Drosophila melanogaster: one gene and its partners. The protein of the gene in region 2 interacts with the protein of the main gene of each other region in a pairwise test. Each region holds a gene or a part of one and is shown on either strand. Other genes may lie near its edges.

The links. The genes of interacting proteins can lie anywhere in the genome.
Region 1: the proteins of Xrcc2 (region 2) and CG15822 interact in a two-hybrid assay, tested with the Drosophila melanogaster proteins (one large-scale study listed by BioGRID).
Region 3: the proteins of Xrcc2 (region 2) and mRNA-cap interact in a two-hybrid assay, tested with the Drosophila melanogaster proteins (one large-scale study listed by BioGRID).

The regions. Positions count from the first base shown.
Region 1 is NT_037436.4:2,160,012-2,165,586, forward strand, and holds the start of CG15822 (uncharacterized protein), read right to left. Parts: upstream 3,853-5,575; 5' UTR 3,729-3,852; exon of another isoform or gene 3,680-3,728; intron 1,919-3,679; 5' UTR 1,787-1,918; coding exon 1,620-1,786; intron 808-1,619; coding exon 612-807; intron 440-611; coding exon 326-439; intron 269-325; coding exon 94-268; intron 1-93.
Region 2 is NC_004354.4:18,496,654-18,501,771, reverse strand, and holds Xrcc2 (X-ray repair cross complementing 2), read right to left. Parts: upstream 1,646-5,118; 5' UTR 1,591-1,645; coding exon 838-1,590; 3' UTR 514-837; downstream 1-513. Other genes in the region: Pgant7 (polypeptide N-Acetylgalactosaminyltransferase 7), read left to right, coding at 2,336-2,540, 3,351-3,827, 4,270-5,118.
Region 3 is NC_004354.4:14,238,914-14,244,441, forward strand, and holds mRNA-cap (mRNA-capping-enzyme), read right to left. Parts: upstream 3,910-5,528; 5' UTR 3,669-3,909; coding exon 3,465-3,668; intron 3,401-3,464; coding exon 2,468-3,400; intron 2,406-2,467; coding exon 2,267-2,405; intron 2,213-2,266; coding exon 1,939-2,212; intron 1,872-1,938; coding exon 1,675-1,871; intron 1,608-1,674; coding exon 1,405-1,607; 3' UTR 1,353-1,404; downstream 1-1,352. Other genes in the region: Dus2 (dihydrouridine synthase 2), read left to right, coding at 1-692, 760-1,010; CG32599 (uncharacterized protein), read left to right, coding at 4,916-5,122.

The sequences.
Region 1 (5,575 bases), on a different chromosome or scaffold from region 2:
ACCGAATTATGTTAATTGCTCGCGGGGCAAACAAAAAACGACTAGCGAACAGACCAAAAAAAACAAAAGACTCAAGCAACGAACTCGACTCACCCAAGTCGATGGCGGTCTCTATGTCGTTTTGCACACCGGCATGCATCTGGGCGCACTTCTTCAGCTCCACATCCGCTTCCGCCGGCCGCAGAGACTTGTGCTCCCGCAGAAGAGCCAACAGTTTCTCCATCGAAGCCAAAGTCTGCACATGCGACTTGGTGAACTCGTCGATGGACTGCGTAAATATAGCCATTATGTGCCGTTCGAACGGTACAGAAATTGGGGCACTTACCTTGCGCTGCTGCAGCCACAGATCGTAGTTGAACTGCAAGGTGCCGCCCAGTTCCTCGGGCAGGTTCTGCGGCTCTATGAACTTGAACAGCCTCGCCTTCGACAGCACCAGGGGCTATTAAGAGAGCACAGTGAGAAATTAATGAGTTCAATGTGGAAATTCTAATTACTATGTTGCAGTTTATGGTTATGATATATTTTATTAGGAACTAAATCGATTTAATGGGAAGCTATTTAAATCTTTAATTCACTTCTTGAGTTGTGTCCAACCTAAGCTATTAGCTTACCTCTCCCTTGACCTGGGACTTGGTGCACGGCTCCACATGCTTCTCCCAGAAGCCCTCCGCCCTGACTAGATACAGATCCACATTGATGTCGCCCCCGAAGAGGGCGTAAATCTGTCGCACCTGCTGCCGTGATATCCGCGAACTGCTCTCCTGGGCATTGACCACCACACTCACGCCATTCTGCAACACCGAAGCGCTGAAAGAGATTAATGTCAAGTTGGTTAATCGGTTTGGGACTGGAGGAAAGCGTCTTTAAGCGCTTCATTAGCTTGCCAGTTAGGATTTGGCTTTAATCAGACACTCTTTTTTCAGGGGAACTGCCAGTTGATTGATCACAATCAATATATCCATAATTCATGTGGCTTCTTCCCTGTATTTAAAAGATTGTTTGATGCCTACCTCGTAAACTTAAACAATTTGCTTGTTGTGCCAATAAATAAACAAACTTAAATGGGAAATAACAAAAGAAGGGCGTAAAGCCCATAGGTAGTTGTTTAAATAGGTTACGAACGGTATATAATTTTCATAAATTATCTTAAGGTTTTTAAGAGGGTACATTTATTGCTACTACTATTTTTACATATGTTGCTTGTAAAGTGTGTTTATAAAATGAAAGTGTGCTTAAACTGACCGAACTTTGTATCAAGTTACTCTGAAGTAATATATGTAAGTGGATATTAACAATGTTTTCCATTCAAGACAAATCATCTGACTTCAGAAACTTTAAATTATTTAGTTGGCTTTAAATATCTGACACTTAGCATATAAATAACCAGATTTTGTTAGGTGTTTTCCGCTTTTCGAGACCCGTTTTAAGACCCCTCCCAGAGAGCCGTGTCTAATGAAAAGTAATGCATTAAAGACGACAAAAAATGAACCTTCATCATCTGCGGGCTATTTGCATATTTCGGCCATATGCTAATGAATCGTCGGCATTTCCACTGCCGGTTTCTAAAGTTTCTGTGCCTAATGGCAAATGCCTAATACCACTTAATTCCCGATTCTCACCTGAGAGACCGCTTCAGATAGTCCAGAGTCACCTGCAGATAGCGGCGATTCCACAGCTGCAGATCGTTGAATGCGTTGACAACGAAGACGATGCGCTTCTGGCGATCGAATCCGCCGGATAAGTAGGCACTCCGCGTCTGCAGGGCGTTCAGCACGTCCTCCTCCATCTATAGGGAGTTTAATGATGGGATCGCGATGACGATGCGGCTTTTCTAAATGCTAATTGAGCCTCTTGTCGCCGCGAACATTTTGCTGCTGAGACAACGCGGTATTAGGATTTTCTTTTTGTTTGCAGTTGGCTGTTTGGAAAAGCTTGAAAATTAATACAAGTCACAGTTATGCGAGTTGTTTTCGTTTCTGTGGCTGCTGCTGCTGTTTTTCTTGCCGCTGCACAATGCTGCACATTTCCAAATGCCGCGAGACTTTGTTGGGGAACACGTTTGACAAGTTGCAGCCTGAAACTTTGGTTGCCTTTACTTTACTTTAGTCTGGTACACTGAGGAAAATGCTCATACCCTTAAAACGATAGTTTGGCTTAAATAGCTGCAGGCCATTTAAACGAAGCAACCAGCGCTTACTTCATTTAACTACGAATGGCATTATTGTAAAATACTTTTACGATCTACTCAATTTCTCTCAGTGCCTAGCTAGTCTCTCCACATGATTTTCACTGTTTTCATGTTAGTTTAGGAGTTTTTTGTTGGCTTTTTCAGTTTGGGTCTCTCTGGCCTAATGGAAAAATTCCATTTTTGCGCATGAGTATTTTGACACAAATTGGAGTTTTAGCTCTTTTCCATGCCGGCCAGCAGCAGCAGTTTGAACTTAATTTGTCGGTTGATAAGGGGCGCGGCAGACCCAAACGCTATATGGTATGTACAATATATGCTACATAGAGGAGGAAAAGAGCCAAGTAATTCTTTCACTTGTGAGCCAGAAGTACGTGCCAGAAATCCTGTTTGCTGCCAGTCTATCTTACAGTTATGCGTAAGTGGTCGATGCCTCTTTTCCTGTCTCTCAGTCAGCCCCATCTTGCTCCGCTTTTTCTTTACTCTACCAAAGAGTATTCGGAGATCTGCTTAACTCTTGTCTTGATATATATATGTTTTGATAGAAATTATAGATTAGATTAGTTATATAAGACCAGCTTTGCTATTATAGAAAGTGACATTTGCAGCAGGCACTTATTTAAATTATGGTATATTTTTGATTTTCTGCCTTATAAAGTGTATTTAAAACCCGGTACTGCAGGCCCAACTTCCTTTCCCCTTTTTTATGTTTTATGTTCTATGTTCTATGCTAACCAATTTGCACTACTTGGCTTTACTGCGAGTTTTTGATGGCAGGAGCGAGAGCAACCTGTTTCTTTGGCCGCTTTTGGGAAGCTGTAATAATTGTCATAGCCTAGCGGTCGGTTGGCCCCCTTCCAAAAACCCCTTCTCAATGCACTTTACTACGCCCCTTCCGCATTGGATTTCAATTAATGGCAGAGGACAGGTAAAAAAAAAACAACCTTGCAGCAGCAACTCTGGGATGGGGCATACATATTTCTGGTTTCAAATGTCAGTACGAAAAATACTTGCAAATATGAGCAGAGTTATGTCTATATTTTTATATCCCACTGAGCTCAGCGAAAAACTCACGAAAAGGGTAGCTGAAAATTGAGAACCCCGCGGGGCTCGTAATGCCTCGAATCTTTGGAATCGGGCGCACCTTTCGGCCTAAAAAAAGAAAAAATCGCTTCCAAAATAGATGGCAGCAACAAAAACCGTTTGAGCTGCTGTGTTGTTTTCTTTCAATTTCGTTAAACTTTCTTGAGAACCTTTTTTGGGTTTTGTTTTCCTCGGCTGGGCTTTTATTTTTTTGTTTTATGATATGGCGATAAGATCTATGCCAACGACGATGGGCTGTTAAATTAATTGAAAAGTTCAGCGGCAACAGCAACGGAACTCATTAGCATTTCTCCACACAAAATTTGTTTAACCAGCTGACAAATGTGTTCAGCTGTTTCGAAATGAGTTTTTAGTTCATTTTGCGTGTTGTTCCATGTGAAGTAACTCGACTTGGTTTTAACATGCAGAGCGGCGACTCCTTATCGTTTTGGTGTCTTACTTCTCAGTATTTCGAAACGAATTCAGTTCTTATCGCTCTTTTCGACACCAGAATAAAACCGACAAGACACCGATATCGTTCATCCGCCCCGTCCGCCCGCGTGGAATTCTCGCGCTCAACTGAAAGTTTCCAAACTTTGTTTCGATCTTAGCCACGATCGGTGCCAACCTGGTTTTTCGGTTCGAGTTGCGGCTCGAAGTGCGTTCGAGTTGCAGTTGCTTGCATGTCAGCTGTTTTTTGTTGCATTTCAATTGATCGTGAACTGTATGTAGTATTTCGTATTTTCATTTTTTACTGCGCTGGCTGATGATTACCCGCACGTTTTGCCCTTTTTAGGGGGGCGCCTTTGAAAACCGGTTGGGATTTCTTTTCTTCTTCCAAGTGCAAAATTAAAACAAAACACGCGTTTTGTCCGCCAATGGAGATATCGAAGATTCTGTGGAACACTTTTTTTTATTTTCATTGCTTCCACTTCTTTTCTACTTTTATGGGTATGATGAACTTGGCAAGAGAGTTTTATATGTGGGAATTCAATTAAATGGATGTTCATTTGGAAAGTTTATTCAAATACGAGTTCTAAAGTTGATAAGTTGTGATTTTTATTCCTAATTAATTCACTAATATCTGTCTCTGTTTTTTAGGGTATTATCCGTTCGATTCAGTTATGTTTTCTTCCTCACGCACTCGTTTTGTTGTTTTATTCATGTATCCCTTGACGTGGGAACTTTTAATTGTGTGTGCTGAGAGTTTTCAGACAATGCCACGAATTGTTGTCCACTTCAATATCTTCCGCCTCGCCAAGGAAAAGTACTGGAAAGTGCAGAAGGATATTTAGTATGCTTCCTTGACAGCACAAATATCAAAGATTTATTTCTCTTTGCGTGATAAATGAAAAAAAGGAGCAGTCCAGAACCGTTTTAGGCTTCACTCGTTTATGAAAGGGGACAAAAACAAACATCTCCACCAGAAAAGGGTCACTCCCTGGAAAAATGGTCTAGGGAAGGGGTTCTGTGGGTTACGACCCTTATAAACATGTCAATCACAAGTAAATTGTTGCAGATTTAATGGTCGTCCAAGGAATGTGGGTCTGGCAATAGGAATCCCACCCGACAGCCTGGACTCACTGAAATGCAAACGGATTTCCACTGCTGTGTCAGCAGCGTCGGAAAACGGCGAGAAATACAGTGAAGCTTCGAAAGATGACTTAAAAGTTAACGAACAAGAAAAAAAAACATTTTTAATGTAACAAAAAAATTCATTATTCTAGTTACTCTTATTTGTATCAGCATTTGGAATTTTAGTATCGATCTTGTTTTCCGACAGCACACTGTACCAAATTGCGTCCGCCATAGATTTTGCTTTCCATTTCACTGACTTCCATGAATTTATAGGCAATCTTCGAAGGCCTAGGCGCGATGGTTTTGTTTAATGAAACTTAAAGTGCGTGCCAGAGTGCCCGGGCACGTATCCTTGAGCTCCTCGAGGGATCCGGATCCCTGGGGCTGAGGAGAACGGAACTGGAAGCTGATGAAGTCGGGGCTGCACTCAATTGCAATAGCCGACCGCAAAATGGCGTCGAAAGGACTTCCGTTCGAGCAAAAAACAAGAAGTCATGCAACTGGGCATCATCGGACGTGAAAAGCTGCTGTTTTCCTTTTTATTTTTGTTTTTGTTAATGTTACTGGTGGAGAACGAGGAATGGATCCCTTCCCACCGACAGCTTTAACGGCTATTAGAAAATTGCGAAAATTGCGCACACGTTTTGGCTGAGAAAAGCGGGAACGTTGCATGTGGCAGGGCAATCGAGTGCAGTTTGTGGCCCCAGATTTATTGCACCGAGCTGGAAA
Region 2 (5,118 bases):
ACAGATAATTATTTATTGAAATTACATTTAAATTAATGATTGTATTTAATAATAATTTTTACTAATTTACCGGCTTTTAAGCACTACCAAAATCAATCGGCGGATAACATTAAAAAGCCCCCCCCCCCCCCCTCCTCTCCATTTTAATTGCCATTACCATACACCATCATATTGCTTCTTCTTAAAATGCTAAGAAAACGATAAAAAAGGAAAACGAAAACGAAAAAAAAAACTGCTAAACAAAACCACCTTACTTATGTATAGCTTTTAGAAATCATTAGTTTTAAGTATAATTCTGGTAGGGTTGGCCTTCTTCAAAAACAAAAAAAGAACATAGTGAAGGTTTCAACACAATTTTAAAGAACTGTTGTATTTTTTTTAATTAAGATAATATTACTGATATATAATATTAAATATATTACTGAATGGAATAAGTCATAAAAGCGAACTTTCCTTCTAGATCTATATGGACTATAATTTTCTTTGTTCGAGCGGGTAAAACTAGGAAGATATCACGGAAATTAAAGTATATTTGAGTTCGTAACTATCTAGATAATGTAGAAGTTATACCTTTTTTTTAACTTAATTAGTTGCACAGATTACTTTCTCACTCATAGGCCTTGAAATTGTCTAATAAAGGAGTAATAACAAATATAATTTCTAATCCCTAAAAGGAAGATATTATTAAAGTTAAATTGTTAAACTATATACAATTTTCTTAACCTATCAACTCTATATACAATTTAATCAACTCTATATACTCTATATACAATCGTTTACTTCTTTCAGTTCCTAGCATCATTTTGTCCTAAGATTAATAATAATAATTTAACTATGTTAACTGGGCTGAGTCAGCAATGCCTCAGTAATTTCCTTGCTAGTATTTGTATCCAAATGAATTCCATTGCTAAACGACAGCGGCAGTCCATTCAAGAGGATCTGGTTTTGAATCTTCTGCATCCTGACATGGTACTTTATGCCAGCCTCGGGCAAGTTTTCGCCAAAACGATTCTCCAGAAAGGCAGACTCCACCGTGTACATGCCGCAGACGATGGCATCCTTGCAGAGCTTCTCCAGGCGCGCCTGGAGCAATCGATAGTGGCGATACATGGACATTCTCTTGGCAATCTTAGGCTCATCTAGCCAGTAGAATTCGCTGAGTGTGTCCATGGCAACCAATTGTATGCCAGGATCATTGATGATCGCGTAGCGGGCGTCGATTAGCGACGTGGAAACATCATCGTTTGCAAAACAGTTGAGGAATCGCACGCGACTCATGCACTCGCCCGCAATCTCGGCCAGCTGCTCCTCCGTGGGGCATTTCGCAGCAATCACTTCGCCGACAGAGTACGCCTTCAGCTCCATCCTAATGCTCTTGGCCAGAGATTCACGGTTGATCTTGTGACTCAGATTGATCAGCAGGACGCTCCACTGGCGACCACCGAATTTGTAGGGCACCAGGCAGTGGGCCACCAACTGTTGGAGCACCAGGCTTTTGCCACTGTTCCCTGGGCCGGAGATCTCCACCAGCGTATCGGCTTCAAAGCCGCAGGAGCCAAAAACGGCAAAGTGGAGTTGATGTGAGCCCATTAGGTTAAATTTACAAATTTGCGCCCTGGCATAAACAAAGGAGTTATCGATTGTGGCCTTTATCGATGACAGCCACCTAAAGTTGAATTGCGCAGCGCTGAAACATATTTAACACTAAATGGAACTAGGGCATATCGAATAGTTAAACAACAGCAGCAAGCGTTTCGTTATAACTTTCAGTTAGCATTTAGACTTATTTGCGCACATACATAAAAAAAATCCATTTTCACCACCCTGTGTTATCGCCCAGCCGCCTATCGCTGCTGGTGCCTAATTTAGCCCTAACGCCTGGGCGATGATAGAAAAAACGGCATAACGCGTTCTTACCAGTTGAACATCGTTTTCTACCATTTTTTGTTTACGTTTGCACCGCGAATATTCGTGCACCTGCACTCGCAATTTGCTCAAAGCCAGCGGCGCTTTTTCGCCGGCAAGTTGCTCCGCACCGAGTTAAAGCATCACTCAGGCGGACGAGCTGGTGTACTCCAGTTAGCTTCTCGCCCCAGCACTTGTAATTGTCATTATCGGCGGGGCGCCTTTGATCATTCAGCGGCATCTCGAATCCGAACCAAAAGTGGTTCTTTTGTTCTCTTTCTGCTTTGTGGCCACCTTTCCGCGCTCCCCGCTTACCGCTTCCCGTCTCCCGCGCCGTGCTTTTTCTTTCTGGCCACCTAGACACGTCAACAGATTTGGAACTTTGTAACTGGAATCTGGAACTGGGCATCGGAATCGGAATTAGGGAGAGATGCGCGTGAGCACCATCCGCAGCGGTCGGATCTGCCGGCTGGCATTGTGCCTGCTGGTACTGCTGCCGCTGCTGTATCTGCTGGCCAACTGGAGCGATCACCACAAGCGCGTCCAGGAGGCGTATCACACGCGCTTCGGCGGACCCAAGTTCGCCCACCAGCGATTGGAGGGCAGGCCCAGGGAGGTGCCCAAGCTGGTCGATGGTAAGTGGCTACAGGATCGAGGATAGCAATATCAGCCCTTGACCAGGATAAAGAATAGGATTGTGTCACCCATAACGTGAGCCTTGCCATTAAGATTCCTCACTCACGTATTATACAATTTTATTATGGAGGACTATCATCAGAACTAAGGATACAGAGTAGTTACCATATCATTGTTGAAAAGACCGAGTTGTTTGCTTACTGCAAACCCAGCTAAAGAATTCAGTAATCTTTGCTTTATATCACTTAAAACCGGCTTTTGCTCGTTTTAACCAATTAATTACTTGCCATGTATGCTACATAGTATTCAAAGAAGTCTTTATTACCACGTTTAGCGTGAGTAAAGTATGGTTGGAGGTTAAAGGATAACCTTTTCCAACCCATATCGTACAGTCTATTCCCAGTCTAACTTACGAGCCCATTTCAAATATTTATCGCATTCTATTATACATTCTCCAAAACCGGCTTTGTAATGGCCCTAACCAACCAACTATCAAATTCGGATAGAGTGAGAAAATAACCTCATAAAAGTCATTTTTACTGCACAGCCACCAAAACTAGTGTGTCTTTAGTCTTTTGTATCAAATGCTAATTCTAGTCGTAGAATATTCCATATGACCATAAGATGGTTAGATGATGGCATATTATTGGTCTGTAATACCCCGCCTTTATGCATAAGTCTGAAATTATAACCCACACCTCCTGCAAGCGCATACAGTGAGTGGCTGGGCCAATATTTAAACAATTGCTGTAAGCTTGCATAGGTAATTTGCACGCGCCACACTCACAATTTGTTTTTGCGTTTTTCAGGCCTTGGCAACTTTGAGCCGAAAGATGTGAAGCCACGTAGCGGGCCTGGCGAGAATGGCGAGGCCCACAGCCTGTCGCCGGACAAGAAGCACATGTCGGACGCCTCCGAGATGGAGTACGGCATGAACATCGCCTGCTCCGATGAGATATCGATGCACCGATCGGTGCGGGACACGCGGCTCGAAGAGTGCCGCCACTGGGACTACCCCTTCGATCTGCCGCGCACGAGCGTCATCATTGTCTTCCACAACGAGGGCTTCTCGGTGCTGATGCGCACCGTGCACTCGGTCATCGATCGTTCGCCCACGCACATGCTGCACGAGATCATCCTGGTGGATGACTTCTCCGACAAGGAGAACCTGCGCAGCCAGCTGGACGAGTATGTGCTGCAGTTCAAGGGGCTGGTCAAGGTCATCAGGAACAAGGAGCGCGAAGGTCTCATCCGAACGAGATCCAGGGGAGCCATGGAGGCTACAGGTGCGTATAGCCCATATCTCATTTATGTATATTGTTATGTGTTCTTGCATAACTTGCATAACTCATGACGGCTTATCGCATAGTTAAAAGAACGTGTTGTATGGAAAACAATAGTTTTATCTTGAGATGTTTGCATCAAACGCTGAAACGCCAGCTATTTGGAATTTGAATTGAAGATAACTTCACGTTCCGCTTTGTGGCAATGATAAACCTTTAAACTGCAGACTCATTGAATTTCTTTTACATTTTCTCAGCATAATAGAATTGCCTATCATTGCAATTGAAGCAAGATTATCGTCGATTTCAAACAAGCCTTTTAGCATAAACAGTATGCATAGAAATTTACAAATTACTATTTTAAAGCATCATCCTTTAAATCATCATATTAACCCACAACCTTATAAATATCCACACAAACACTAAACTGCTTTGCATCCCGCAGGTGAGGTGATCGTCTTCTTGGACGCCCATTGCGAGGTAAACACCAACTGGCTGCCGCCCTTGCTGGCGCCCATCTACCGGGATCGCACTGTGATGACAGTGCCCATTATCGATGGCATTGACCACAAGAACTTTGAGTACCGGCCGGTTTATGGCACGGACAACCACTTCCGCGGCATCTTCGAATGGGGCATGCTGTACAAGGAGAACGAGGTGCCACGTCGCGAGCAGCGCCGCCGTGCTCACAACTCGGAACCCTATCGCAGTCCCACGCACGCCGGCGGCCTGTTCGCCATCAATAGGGAGTACTTCCTGGAGCTGGGCGCCTACGATCCGGGTCTGCTGGTCTGGGGCGGCGAGAACTTCGAATTGAGCTTCAAGATCTGGCAGTGTGGCGGCAGCATCGAGTGGGTGCCATGCTCTCGCGTGGGTCACGTCTATCGCGGCTTTATGCCCTACAATTTCGGCAAACTGGCTAGCAAGAAGAAGGGTCCATTGATCACGATCAACTACAAGCGCGTCATCGAGACGTGGTTCGACGACACGCACAAGGAGTACTTCTATACGCGCGAGCCGCTTGCCCGCTACCTGGACATGGGCGACATTAGCGAGCAACTGGCGCTGAAGAAGCGACTGAACTGCAAGAGCTTCCAGTGGTTCATGGACCACATCGCCTACGATGTGTACGACAAGTTCCCGGGTCTGCCGGCCAACCTGCACTGGGGCGAGCTGCGCTCGGTGGCCTCCGACGGATGCCTGGACTCGATGGGCCACCAGCCGCCGGCCATCATGGGCCTCACATACTGCCATGGAGGCGGAAATAATCAACTGGTTCGGCTCAATGCCGCTG
Region 3 (5,528 bases), 4.3 Mb from region 2:
CTTGGACATTCCAGTCACCTGCAAAATACGCATACTGCCGGACGTGGAGGGTACAATCGATCTGGTGCAGAAACTGGCCGCCACGGGCATCGCTGCCATTGGCATTCATGCGAGGACGCGCGACGAGCGTCCGCAGCATCCTGCCCATCCCGAGGTACTGCGTGCCGTTGCCCAGGCGGTTGACATACCGATTATCGCCAACGGTGGTTCGAAAAACATGCACTGCTACGATGATCTGCGCAAATTTCAAATGGAATGCGGCGCCGATAGCGTGATGGTCGCACGTGCGGCACAGATCAATGTTAGCATCTTCAGGCCGGAGGGCCTGCTGCCCATGGACGAGCTAATCGAGAAGTATCTGCGCCTGTGCGTCGACTACGACAATGCGCCGCATAACGCCAAGTACTGTGTGCAGAGCATACTCAGGGAGCTGCAGGAGACGCCGCGTGGCAAGCGTTTCCTTCAGTGCCAGACGCTGCAGCAGATCTGCGAGATCTGGGAGCTGGGCGACTATTGCCGCCGCAAGCAGCGGGAGCTAAAGACGATGGGCAACTCGGGACGGGCGGAGGTGGAGCCACCGGAGGCGCTGGCCAAGCGACAGAAGCTGGAGGATGCGGCCATTGCCATAACGGACGAGTACGACGGCATCATTTGCCGACACATGCCATTCCTGCGCTCCACCTATCCCAGTGGTAAGTGTTTCGATCAATCTCTTGCCATGATAGCCATCATCCCCATTCGGTATTTTTCATGCCACAGATAATCATCTGCCGAAAACGCAACTATATGTGCATGCTGTCAAAACTGGCAAATCCCCGCCAGCGTACGAAACGCAGCAGTGTGACAAATTGTTTCGCTCCATCTGCACGTACGATGGCCAGCGCTTTAGTAGCTCCTTCTGGGAGAAGAACAAGAAGCAGGCAGAGCAGGGCGCCGCTCTGGTGGCCCTGCTCCATCTTGGCCAGCTGGAGGCGGAGGTTCTGCGCGACAATGGCAGCCTGCTCAACTGAGCAGCAAAGTTCCTCCTGTTTTATGTAAATGTCATCCATTTTGGCTATGTTTTGGACACCATTATTTAGTTGTTTTTTTTTTTTTTGATTATTGCAATGGCTGTTGCAACTGCCTTAGGTGCTGGGAGCAGTATCTGGACTACCTCCATTGGGTTAACAAAGTTTGCATCTGAATAAACAAAACTGCAAGTGTGCAGTGCTTTAAATATATGTATGTATTTAGATAAATAAATTATATGAGCTGTTTTAAGTTTATAAGGAGTACAGCTGGTTGGAGTGCTCCTAGTACTAAGTAATTCGTAGTTCAGCTAATCCAAGAAAACCCAAGTTCACACAGTTTTTCGGTACATAACTCACGATTAATTTTATTCTTTCTTTTTTTATTACGCTCTGATTAATTTCCTAATGTCGGGTTCACGCAGGGACGACGCTGGTGTTGGCCATGACCATGGGGATAAAAGTGGTTATGGTTGTGGTTTTGGTTATGGGAATTGATCGGCGGCGGCATCATGACATGATCATTCCGATAGCCAGAGCTTGCGATAAAGTTTAGTAGGTACTCCTTGGTGACTGGATGCTTTATGCTGTCCACAACGGCTGAAATTAAGATGAGTTGAGAATGAGTATAGGGATCCTCCTACTGCTGGTGAAGATTACTACTCACAGCGGGCTGTATTATAACTGTTGGGATTCTTTTTGTCCGTTCGCTCGCGCATAAAGTCCCAGTTGCCAAACTGATTCATGGTGCACTCAACGATTCTGTTGTCCAATTCTCTGGTCTCCTTCGTTAACCTTTGCATCCGTCCATAGGGTGCATCGTGTCCGCCGACATAGAGGAAGCCCACCTTTTTCGTCAGCAAGCTGCCAGAGGCGGAGAATGGCATGGTATGAATTGAGCCCGTTGAACGGATAGATCACTACAACTCACCCCTCGCCGCGCTCTGTTATGATCTTCAGCCGAAAGTCCACCGAGTTGAGCTCATGTGGCTTCCATTTGAAGACATCGGAGCATGTGCCAGCCGTGTAGGGCTGCTTTGATGGCTGGAAGATGAGGCCATCCGGTTCGTGTGCCAGTGTCCGCGAGAATTTCTCACCCAGCAGCCGGGCAGACATCCAAATGTCCCAGAAGTCCTTGCCGCGCACACTGAACGCCTGCAGCCGCTGATTGATGATGCCATGCTTCATGCCCAGGATTCGGGGACCTGCAGCGATATATGGATGTGTCCTTCATAAACGAACATCGAATAATTACTCACCTATAACTTCCGTCTTAATGTAGTCCAGTCGATTTGGATAGAATGGCTCGTCCCGCACATCGCGATTCGATAATCGCACAATGTCGTAGATGAGGTAGCGCGGCGTTACGGTCTCGCCGATCTTGTCCAGCACCATCTCCTAAACGGACAAATAGAACGATAATTTAGTTGCAATCAGGAGTGCCAGCTAGAATCACATACCCCGTCGACGAGAGTGCCGTCGAGATGCTCGTTTAGGTTCCTGCTCTCCACAAATGTCACATTCTCCACCTGGAAACAGGAGTGATTGCGATCGAAGAAATATACCTCGTCCCTTCCATCGATGAGCATCATATAACGTGTACCGTCCGCCTTCCACGACACACGATACGGTATCTCGCTTAGCCGCTTTATGTTCTCCCTGTCCATGGAGACGGGCTGTGCGCCAGGGAAGCCGTTCTTCTTCCAGTCGCACCAGTCCTGCACCTTACGCTGCAGATCGCCCAGTCGCGGCTGATCGCTCACCTGTCGCACGCCCGGCACTCCCGCCATAAAGGTGGCATTCTTGATGATCATTTCGCGCCGTCGCTTCTTACGCGGCTGACCGTCCGACGTGGAGGCGTCACAGTCGCCGCCCGCATCCTCTCCCTCCACCTCCTCGGCGTCGTCATCCTGCTCGCCGGCCTGCTGTGACGTGGATGAGGAGTTGTCCTGCACAAAACCATCGCCGTTGCCATCATCATAGTCCAGGCACCAATTGGGCTGTTCTGGTGCCGCTGGAGCGGCATTCGTGTCCTCGTAGCGTTTGTACAGCTCGTTGATGTAATCCTGCTTGTAGATGCCCGGCGGCCGGGCGCTGGCAAAGATAGCGAGCGCTGCCGAAACGGAGCAATCGAGTCGCTCGACCAAATAGCAGACAATCAGGAAGCCAGTGCGATTGAAACCGTGCGTGCAGTGCACGGCTATAACGTCAAATGGACGTTCGTTAATAAAGTTGTCCACGATCTCGATGAAACTGTGCGTCTGCTCCGGCGATGGCGTCTCGCCATGTCCACGGCACTGCAGCTTAATATATTTCGCGCCGAGCTCCTCCACTGCGGATCGATCGTAGAATCGTTTCGTATTGGTCAGGTCAACCCAGAGGCCCAGTTTCACCTGAAACCATAAGATGGATTGGATAAGTGAGTTGGAAATTGGGGGATGTTGCGTTTGCATTCACCTTTAGCGTTTTGCAGTATTCGAAGAGCATCTCGGGTTGAAAGGTGCACTCGATGGGCATCTTGTCGTGAAAGTTATTGCTCAGCGGGGTCTTAAAGGCCAGGAAGCGTTCCGCAATGATGGTATCGCTCTTGCGCGGACAGTATAGCCAGCGATTGGGCAATGGACCAGAGCCCCGTTCCCGATCCCGATTAGTTAGGGCCATAGTGCCACAGTGGCTCCGCCTCTCCTGCTCCTCCTCCTCCTCCTGCTGCTGCTGCTGCTGCTGCTGCTGCTACTGCTGACGACGATGGAAACGGCGGGCGCAGCGATGGGACGACGCCGTTGCGTTTGTGTTAGGTGGTTTATTGCTGGTGCAGATTGTGGTGGATGCAGATGCAGCGAGAACTCGCGGGCCTGGGAATTCTGTGTAGGATTTGTCTAGAGATGTGGAATATATATGTAAAAATATCGATATCTTATTTGTTTCCCTTTTTATAAAAATAAATGATATATATATATATAAGATATCGCGTTTTTTGCTAAATATATTTTTCATATTTCTTATTGGTCACACTAATATGCAAGTGAATTCAAATAAGAAAGACGTTAATAATAAAACGGAAATAAAATGAGCACAGCCAGAAGTTATTATTCTGGAATAATCGACAACAGCGCGACCTGCAATGTTTGTAGCAAATCTAGTTAAATCTTTATATCTTTTATCATTTTAATGATTTTATTAAAAATGATATATCATCGAACTGTCCAGCCAAATTATCGATGCGTCCGTTACATCGATAGCATCGATTGTTTGAAAATATTGTTGGGGGAATTCGTCAAAAAGTTGTTCTCACGGGGAAATTACGAGAAAGTATTTACAAAAGTATTTAATAATATATATAATAAATTTTAGTGTAATTAAAATTAATTAAATAAAAAAATTAAAATTTTTTTAAATATACAGAACAGAATTAAAAAAACATGTTTTTCCCCTACCTTCTGCCGCTCATTTGTATCGATAATCGTTTTTCAAAATAGCTGCGAATCTTTTGCATAAAAATAAACAATTTAATTGCTGCATATTTCGGTCGATGTGTGCATACACACATACGCACATACCTATATATATATATATACGCATCAGTTTCGATATGAACTTGGGGCACACACAGCCAGCCGTACAATTATTTACTGCAATGTAAATAAACAACAAATAACAACAAATCGCCCGCAGAAATCGAACGAAGTCGCGAAAAAAAAGAGGAACGAGGAGGTTTGGGCTCGTAACCACACAATTTCGCCTCTCACTCGATTTTTGATCGCCGCCCGGACGCGATCTTCACTTCATACAAATTGTGAAATTTTTGCGAAAATTTGAATACACTCCGTTCCGAAACTCGATTGTTTTTTTGCGGTCCGTTCAAACCGAACTAGTACGTAAGCCACTTATTCCGTCGCAGAGCCACGCCCATGTCCGCGACCGCCTCAAATCGCCAGCCGGTGCCAAAATTTCCGGCCGCCATGCCGCGTGGAACGGGCACAGTGTGCTCCAATCCGGCGGTGCCCAAGTCGCCGGATGCCCTCACCTCCCTGGTGGCCCGGAAGAGCATTACGTCCATGTCGGAGGAGGAGATCATTCAGGAGAATCTCAACGAGATCCTCGACCTCAAGTCGCGCGTAAGTTTGAATTTGAGGCGGTGCTTTTGAAAAGTATCTTAAGAAGCGAAATGAAGATACAATATCTTAAATATGCCAAATTCGCAAGTTTAGAAACCTGAACTTAATAATTAACTTTTCAGTACTCAATTAAAAATCGAATGACTGTGATCTTTTTCATTCATCTACATATATTACTGAATCGCTTAAAACTAAACAAAACTTGAACAATAACCATATGGACATTCCATGAGTGCTCTCGTTTTTTTTTTTTTTTTTCACCGTGTTGTGATTCATTGGAAACACCTTGATTTACGTGCACGTCATTTACGAATGGATCACTGTGACTTTCAGATTTTCCTCAGCTTTTCCGAGATTTGCAGACGTCTCTCAAAGTTTGTACGACGCCATCGTTTGTGGCGCCATC